2 linked regions of the Cricetulus griseus genome follow. The protein of the gene in region 1 purifies or fractionates together with the protein of each later gene. This does not show direct contact. Links are inferred from orthologs where the notes say so. Each region holds a gene or a part of one and is shown on either strand. Other genes may lie near its edges.

Region 1 (3,819 bases):
TTGACATAACCCATTTTCTTTTAGAGTGTTACTCTTTAGTCTTTTAGAGCTTTTAAAACAATAAAAACATTAGTCCTGTGATGATTATGCCCCAATCTAACGGGGCCCAGAAGAGCTCCTGACTACCCCCACTTCAGGGTGCCTTTGTCCAGTGTGGAAGCTGCTGGGAAAGAGGGGGAAAGAGGACATGGGCTCCTGCCCCTCCCTCTGGCGAGCCTCCTTCTCTTTAAGCTAGGTCACATGATAGTGGGAGCTTTTAGTGACACCTTCTGTAATATTCTGGGAATTCAGTAATTCACTTGGAACATAAGAACCTTGGAACTGGAATTAAAGACATGAGATGCAGCAGACTTAGGACTGTAACAGTGTTGGACTTGCCGTGTGGCTTGTCCTGGGAGGCAGATGCCAATTTAGTAGCTATTTTATTTCCATCTCATGTGGTCCTTCCTTTGTGTGTATTATGCTGCATCCACTTTTCCCTCTCTTTCTTGGTGACCTTAACTCACTTGTTGGTTTTAATGTCTAAATGCTGGAAAGTGCTGAACATGTCTCTGTAACCCAGACCTCTCAAAGCTCCACATTCCTGTATCCAGTTACGTACTTTAACTTCTAATCAGACATATCCTAAGCGGAGCTCTGAGACAAGACTTTCCTGTCGTAGTAAACACCACCACTGCTTACCCATCCTCAAGCCACTAGGATTTCTAGTACTGGCCTCGAAATCACAGAGTTCTGGGATTACAGGCCTGTGCCACCACCGCCCGGCTAACAACTTCTGATATAGTGCTTTCGCCGTTGTGTGCTAGACATGATGTAGGCACACAGCAGAATGTGCATGGCTTATTTGCAAATACCATGCCATTTTACATCAAGAACTTAAGTGTTCTGCAATTCCAGTGTCCTTGGGGAATCCTAGAAGCACCTCCCATGAACACCAAGGGACACAACTGTACATCTCTGTTCCTGTGGTGGGAGGACAGACCTAGTCAAGGGACCGAGAGATGTGATGGATGAGCAGGGAGTGAGGGTAAGGCCAGCCTCTACCAGCTGTTTGCTGAAGGGCACATGGCCTGCCCACAGGGCCTGCCTTGTAGGTTGTCACTTTACCATAAAAACAGTAGGAAGTCATTGAAGGTTTGAGTAGAGCATCCGTGGTCTCTTGTCCCTTTATTAGCACTTTTCTGCTAATTTTTGTTTTCTCCTTTGAGAGTACCCCTCCAGGTCTTTGCCTCAGATTCCCACCTAAATCACTGTTGGCAGTCTAAACTGATAGCTTATTTCCCAAACCAGGCCACCTGCCTACCTTGCCCCTGTCAGGAAGTTTGAAGGAAGCATCCTTCCTTCTACATCAAGTCTAGGTCCCCTCCCCTTCTGTGCATAAGGACTGATTGTTTCCTGATCTCCCTTCTTCTCCTGGCCTATTGACCTCAGCTGTATGTATGCAAACTCTTAGCCGTTTTTGAGAGACCATGTCTTGACCTGCTTCTCTCCAGGCTCTACCCCATTTCTGTGCTACTCTAGATACCAGACGCCTCAAAAGGAATGTTTATAGTCACTGTGTACTTTCTTCACTCCCTCTGAGGGCTGGAGAGATAGCTCAGCAGTTAAGAGTGCAGTCTGATCCTGCAGAGAACCCTAGTTCCCAGCTCAGTTCCCAGCACCCACACATGGCAGCTCAAAACCACCTGACTCCAGCTCCCAGGGCATCCAGCACCCTCTTCTGGCCTTCACAGGCACTGCACAGATAGCTGCACCTACACAATTGAAAATAAAAGTAAAATCTCAACTTACTAGGCTAAAAAGCCCAACCACTGTCTGAATGCAGTTACTAAGCAGTTGTGATGTGGCCAGCATGACTGAGGGGCTGAATTAATCATTCACCTAATCCTTTAGTTCACTTAAATTTGGTAGCTTCCATATTAGAAAGCATGGCTCTAAAGGATTCTGATTTCATAATTAATAAGCTTAATCACATTCTGTCATGCATACACAAAAGTATGTATACAGGGCTTATCCTTTCCAAAGACAATGGCCACAAGCTCCTCCTGGTCTCCAGAGGCAGAGGCCCTGGCGTTTTCTCTGCTCACCCAGACCTTTTCTCGCTGCCCTCACTTCATTCTGAATTTTGCCCACTGGCTGGCAGAGACCTGTCAGCACAAGCAAAGAAAGGAACAGAGGCGTTCAGCTGCTTCATATCTGAAGGACAGTGGGAAGCTCAGTATGGATGGCGAAGACTGGGCTGTGCCTCTCTCTTGTGCACCATTGGCTTGTCCAGAGCTACGTTTGCATTAGGATCTGACTGAAAGCTAGGATTCCAGAAGGCTGGTAGATTTCCAAACTGCTGTGCTCTGGCTTCCTTCTGAGTTTGTGGGAGCCTGCCCCAGTTACAGTAGGGACTCCTCCCTACTTCAGAGCCCATGGTCCTTTTTTTCCCTTCCTCCCCCCACTCCACCATAGTTACAAGCTTGCAGGAAATGGACAAATAATTCCTTGTGAAAGTTTGGCTCCTTGGCCTAAGGCAGACCTTGTTGCAGTCACCTTTCTGGGGTTGTCAGGAGGTATACAAGGAAACAAAATTGGATACTTTAGAACTCAGTATTGGGAACACAGCTCAGTGGTAGAGCCCTTGGTTGGCCTCTTAGAGTGGGGGAGTCAGACAGTGCTAAATACCTGAGTATGTGGAGAGACAGATATCCTTCATTTCTACTTGAAAAGAAACCTGTTTTGTGTGTGCGTACATGATTGTGGGGTGGGGTGTAATGTCATTCCTCAGTCACCAACTATTTTTCTACTTTTGTTTCTTTGTTTTTAAATATGGAGACAGGGCCCCTCACTTGGCTTGGAGCTTGCAGACCAGGTTAGGCCAGCTAGTCAGCAAGCCCAAAGGATCCACCTGTCTTTTTGCCTATGTTGCTGGAGTTACAAGCATGCTGCACCACCATGCCAAGCATTTTTTCTGGTGGGGGGGGAGAACTTGGGTTCTTGTGTTTGCAAGGCAAGTACTTTACCAACTGAGCCATCTTCCCAGCTCGTAAAGAAACCCTTTCCAGTACTCTCTCATCTTCCCTTTTAACAAGGAGCAGCTCGGAGCCTTTGCAGGTAACGCTACAGCGTCTAGACAGAATTTAAAAGATGATATGAATTTTATAGTCACTTCCAGTTTATGTGAAGTAGTACTGTTCCCATTTATATAATGAGATAAAATTTACCTTTAAAATATGTTTATAGTTCTGATAGGTCTGGTTAAAGGAAAATACTAAGAAATAGAGCAACTGACATCTGGATAGCAAACAAACAAACAAAAACCGTATAATTCATGAATAACCAAAATCCGAGGAGTGCCTCCAAATGAGACAAGCAGTCCTCTGGTTTGCAATAGTGGCCTTGTTCTAAGCAAAGGCAGCTAGCCACCAGGGGCTGCCACTGCTTGGCTTCATTCTCATTCTCTTCCCAAAGGTTTGTTTACCAAGCAAAAGTTGGGGGCCGCTGGTTTCCAGCCGTCTGTGCACACAGCAAGAAACAAGGCAAGCAAGATGCAGCCGATGCAGCCCTCCGTGTCTTGATCGGGGAGAGCGAGAAGGCAGAGCAGTTGGGTTTCGCAGAGGTAACCCCAGTGACAGGGGCCAGTCTCAGAAGAACTATGCTCCTCCTTTCCAGGTCCCCAGATGCACATCCAAAGACAGTTAAGACATCTGCTTTTGGTGCTCTCTTTTTGGGGGGATGAGGGTGGGGTTCTGCTTGCTCCTCCCAGAAGACGTTGGCTCTTCACTTTGCCTTATTTATCTCTAGGCTTCAGTCTTGGTCTCAGTAGAGTGCATG
Region 2 (3,819 bases), on another chromosome or scaffold:
TACTGTACGTGTTTTACAAACATAGTGTTAACCTTAAGTAAATTGTACCATACACATAACAAAGGTTCGATTTATTTGTTCAGAAGATTAATGTTCTGAAATTCTCTCTCTGTAACAAATTCTGAATTCTGCAACTTAATACATTGTTAAATTTAACATATGGAAATTTTTCATGGACAGTAGTGGTTCCTCTGCTTTTTGGGGGGTCAAGTTCTTGAGGTAGCTCTGGCTTTCATAGAACTATGAATTCAAGCTCACTCTGCATCTACTTTTGTATCAAAGAAGAGTGAACAGTTGTGATAGCCTATGTGACTTAGAAGACCTATATTTTTTAACATGATCTAGCTCTAAAGTTTTGTAATCCTGAGATGTGATCATAGGTACTCTACTATGCCCATGGAGTTTTAATTCATTAAGTGGAAATCTCTTCATGGATATTATACTTAAGGCTTTTAGTTTGTCTATATAGTTTTTTTTTATCTGGTTTCATGATGTGGTAATAAAAGATGAGTGGGTTGTAGGAATTGTATTTGGATAGCGAATGGAATGAAAAGAACTGTGATGTACTTTATATGGGTGTTTGTTTGGTACATAAAATGCCTACTTGTTTCTGATGGTTTTTTTATGTAGCTGATTTCTGTCTGTGGTAATTCTTATAGGGATTTTTGCACGTGAACATGGATCAAACAAGAAATTAGCAGCACAGTCATGTGCCCTCTCACTTGTCCGACAACTCTATCATCTTGGAGTGATTGAGGCTTACTCTGGGCTTACAAAGAAGAAAGAAGGCGAGAGAGTATGTATTTAGGCATAACTACCCTGAGTAACTTAATATTTGGCTACAGAAGTTGAATGAGTTGGGGACAAGGGCATTATAATGGAAATTAGGGGTCTTAAATGCCAAATACTATTTCTGAGCTAAAAGCTTAGTAAATCAGGAAATTAAAATGCTGCATTGATTTAATTAGCACTTTGATAAGGATCCAGTCAGTGAGTGAGTCATTAAAGAAATTCTCACTAAAAGGAATTGTTGATTGTGTCTATAATAACCCCGGTCTCAACTCTATATTATTTTCGTGAAATTAATTTTGAATTTTATTCATGGTTGTATTAATGATTTTCATTACTCCTTTTTGTAGGTGGAGCCGTACAAAGTTTTCCTGTCTCCAGATTTGGAGCATCAGCTGCAAAATGTGGTTCAAGAGCTAGATCTTGAAATTGTGCCCCCAGTAAGCATATATATAGCCTTTTGTAGTTAACCTTATTTTAAAATCTTCACTTAGACAAGTGTTTCCTTTTATTTACTTGTTTTGCTTTTTTATCAGCCTGTTGATCCTTCCATGCCAGTTATACTCAACATTGGGAAATTGGCTCATTTTGAACCATCTCAGAGGCAAAACGCAGTGGGAGTGGTACCTTGGTCACCTCCACAGTCCAACTGGAATCCTTGGACTAGTAGCAACATTGATGAGGGGCCCCTGGCTTATGTGAGTACCACGAGGTTTCTAAGATCAGTTTTTGGGATTTCCTCCTTCCTTGGGTCAGGATAAAAGAGATTTTGTTTGAATGTGTTCTTTTTGTAGGCTTCTACAGAACAAATCAGCATGGACCTAAAGAATGAATTAACATACCAGCTGGAACAGGATCATAATTTACAAAGTGTAAGTGGTGAAGATTTTCACATTCATTGTCTAGTGTTTCAGAACAGTGTAGTTAGGTTGAATGACAAATCTGAAATAATTAGTAATCATGTATCATAGTTAAAATCTGATAGTAGTGGCTGTTAATTCAGGACCTAAAAATGAGTTGTGCTACTATTTGAACGCACTGCAGCAAATTGAAAAATTATTAACATTTTGTGGCAAGTAATTACATTTAGAATGTTTATGGAGACCTAAGAATGAAATAGAATGAGGACCACAAGACAGATTCTCTAGAAATTTAGTTGAGAATCAATTCTATTAGAAATACAAATATTGGTAGTAAGCCAATTAGAAAGGAAAATTATTCAAAGGAAGTTTTACTAAGTTTTAACTGTGTTAACAGGTGTTACAAGAGAGAGAGATGCTTCCTGTGAAGAAATTTGAACCTGAAATCCTGGAAGCCATTAGCCAAAATTCGGTTGTGATAATCCGTGGGGCTACTGGATGTGGTAAAACCACCCAGGTTCCACAGTACATTTTGGATGACTTTATCCAGAATGGCCGAGCAGCAGAGTGTAATATTGTTGTGACTCAGGTAAATACCAAGCCAGTGTATGAGTTCTATTAATAGTTTGGGAGTTTTTGGGGGTTTGTTGTGGTGGTGGTCAAACAAGGTTTCAAGAATGTTAAGTTTCTAGCCCCACTGCCATCTTCCTTTGTACTGGGGATTTGATATTGAACCTTGGCATGGTAGGTACTTGTGTTAACTATCATGTTTCTGTTAGTAAGCTGTCAAAGAGAGCCATTGCAGTAATTTGAAATTTGAGCTGGGTGTGGTGTTAACAGTTTGAGGTGGGACTTGAATATGTAGTCAGAACATTAAAAAGGCTTGAGTATTTGGTGGTAGAGCACTTGCCTAACATGTAACTTAGGGTGGTTTTTGGTTTTTTTTTTTTTTTTTAACACATGGTTTCTCTTTGTAGTAACCTAGCTTTTATCATGCATATAACACATAGACACTTTTCAGTATAACTAATTCTGAAGTTTCATATTTTGTGTTTTGTTTTGTTTTTTCAGCCGAGAAGGATCAGTGCAGTTGCAGTGGCTGAGCGAGTTGCTTATGAGAGAGGTGAAGAGCCTGGAAAAAGCTGTGGTTACAGTGTCCGCTTTGAGTCTATACTTCCACGCCCCCATGCCAGTATAATGTTTTGTACTGTAGGTCAGTAATGCATTTTGATACCTCATTTGCAATTGTCACATTTTTATACTAAGACTATAAAAAGGTTACAGTATTGCACACTTTAATCCTAGTGCTATAGAGGCAGAAGGTGGCAAATATCTCTTTTTAAGGCTAACCATAGAATGAGTTCATGAAAGTCAGGACAATACAGAAAAAAGTCTCAAAATAGAATATGATTCAGGATATTTCAGACCTCTTCTACAATGATAGAATTGTGTTGCAGCAGGGTTGATTGCCTCCTTGTTAAAAGGTTTCTCTATGTGACTGTATGATCACCATGCTCTAAATAATTGATCTTAGAGGTATGTGCTGCCAGCCAACCCCAGCCAAAATTTGTTGTTTGTTGCTTCTTTGACTACCTAACAAAGAAACCTAACCTGTCTCATAATTGTTCTGACTTTCTTTTCAAGGTGTGCTCCTAAGAAAATTAGAAGCGGGGATTCGAGGGATCAGTCATGTAATTGTAGATGAAATTCATGAAAGAGATATTAATGTAAGTTACTTATGAATTAAGAGGATGATTTGTCTATGTCTAATTGAATAAATTGCTTTTCCTTGCTCTTTTCCTTTCATCTACTTCTGAATATTGTTAAGAGAACCTGTGAACCATCAGGTAATACTTTGTTTATGATGATCAGTAAGAATTTATGCAACTTAGTTTAGAGCTTAGTAGTGATTTATGACTTGAGTAGCTGGCTGGATATTAGGATTAGTTTTCCTTTGTATGTGATACTGTGCTTTTGGCAAAATGTTGGTGGGTATTGGTAGGTTATTTCAGATGCTAAAAATCATCATGGGAAACAGGAAAATGAAAATTTTATTTCTCACCTTTGCCTTGGGTGCTTGGCAAGTCAGTATAGTTTTATTATACAATTGTAGGAATTGAAGTTTGATATTGAAATACACAATTTTTAAAGATCCTATTGATACAAGAAA

Evidence for each region.
Region 2: the proteins of Adar (region 1) and Dhx9 purify together in Homo sapiens (affinity purification with western blotting; 3 studies listed by BioGRID and IntAct, with this or other methods). This does not show direct contact. The link is inferred for Cricetulus griseus from reciprocal best matches to the Homo sapiens genes ADAR and DHX9.

The regions. Positions count from the first base shown.
Region 1 is NW_023276806.1:64,812,326-64,816,144, reverse strand, and holds part of Adar (double-stranded RNA-specific adenosine deaminase), read left to right. Parts: intron 1-3,456; coding exon 3,457-3,682; intron 3,683-3,819. UniProt on the Homo sapiens protein: Catalyzes the hydrolytic deamination of adenosine to inosine in double-stranded RNA (dsRNA) referred to as A-to-I RNA editing.
Region 2 is NC_048598.1:38,197,679-38,201,497, forward strand, and holds part of Dhx9 (ATP-dependent RNA helicase A), read left to right. Parts: intron 1-659; coding exon 660-796; intron 797-1,139; coding exon 1,140-1,229; intron 1,230-1,325; coding exon 1,326-1,487; intron 1,488-1,583; coding exon 1,584-1,661; intron 1,662-2,046; coding exon 2,047-2,238; intron 2,239-2,720; coding exon 2,721-2,862; intron 2,863-3,293; coding exon 3,294-3,376; intron 3,377-3,819. UniProt on the Homo sapiens protein: Multifunctional ATP-dependent nucleic acid helicase that unwinds DNA and RNA in a 3' to 5' direction and that plays important roles in many processes, such as DNA replication, transcriptional activation, post-transcriptional RNA regulation, mRNA translation and RNA-mediated gene silencing.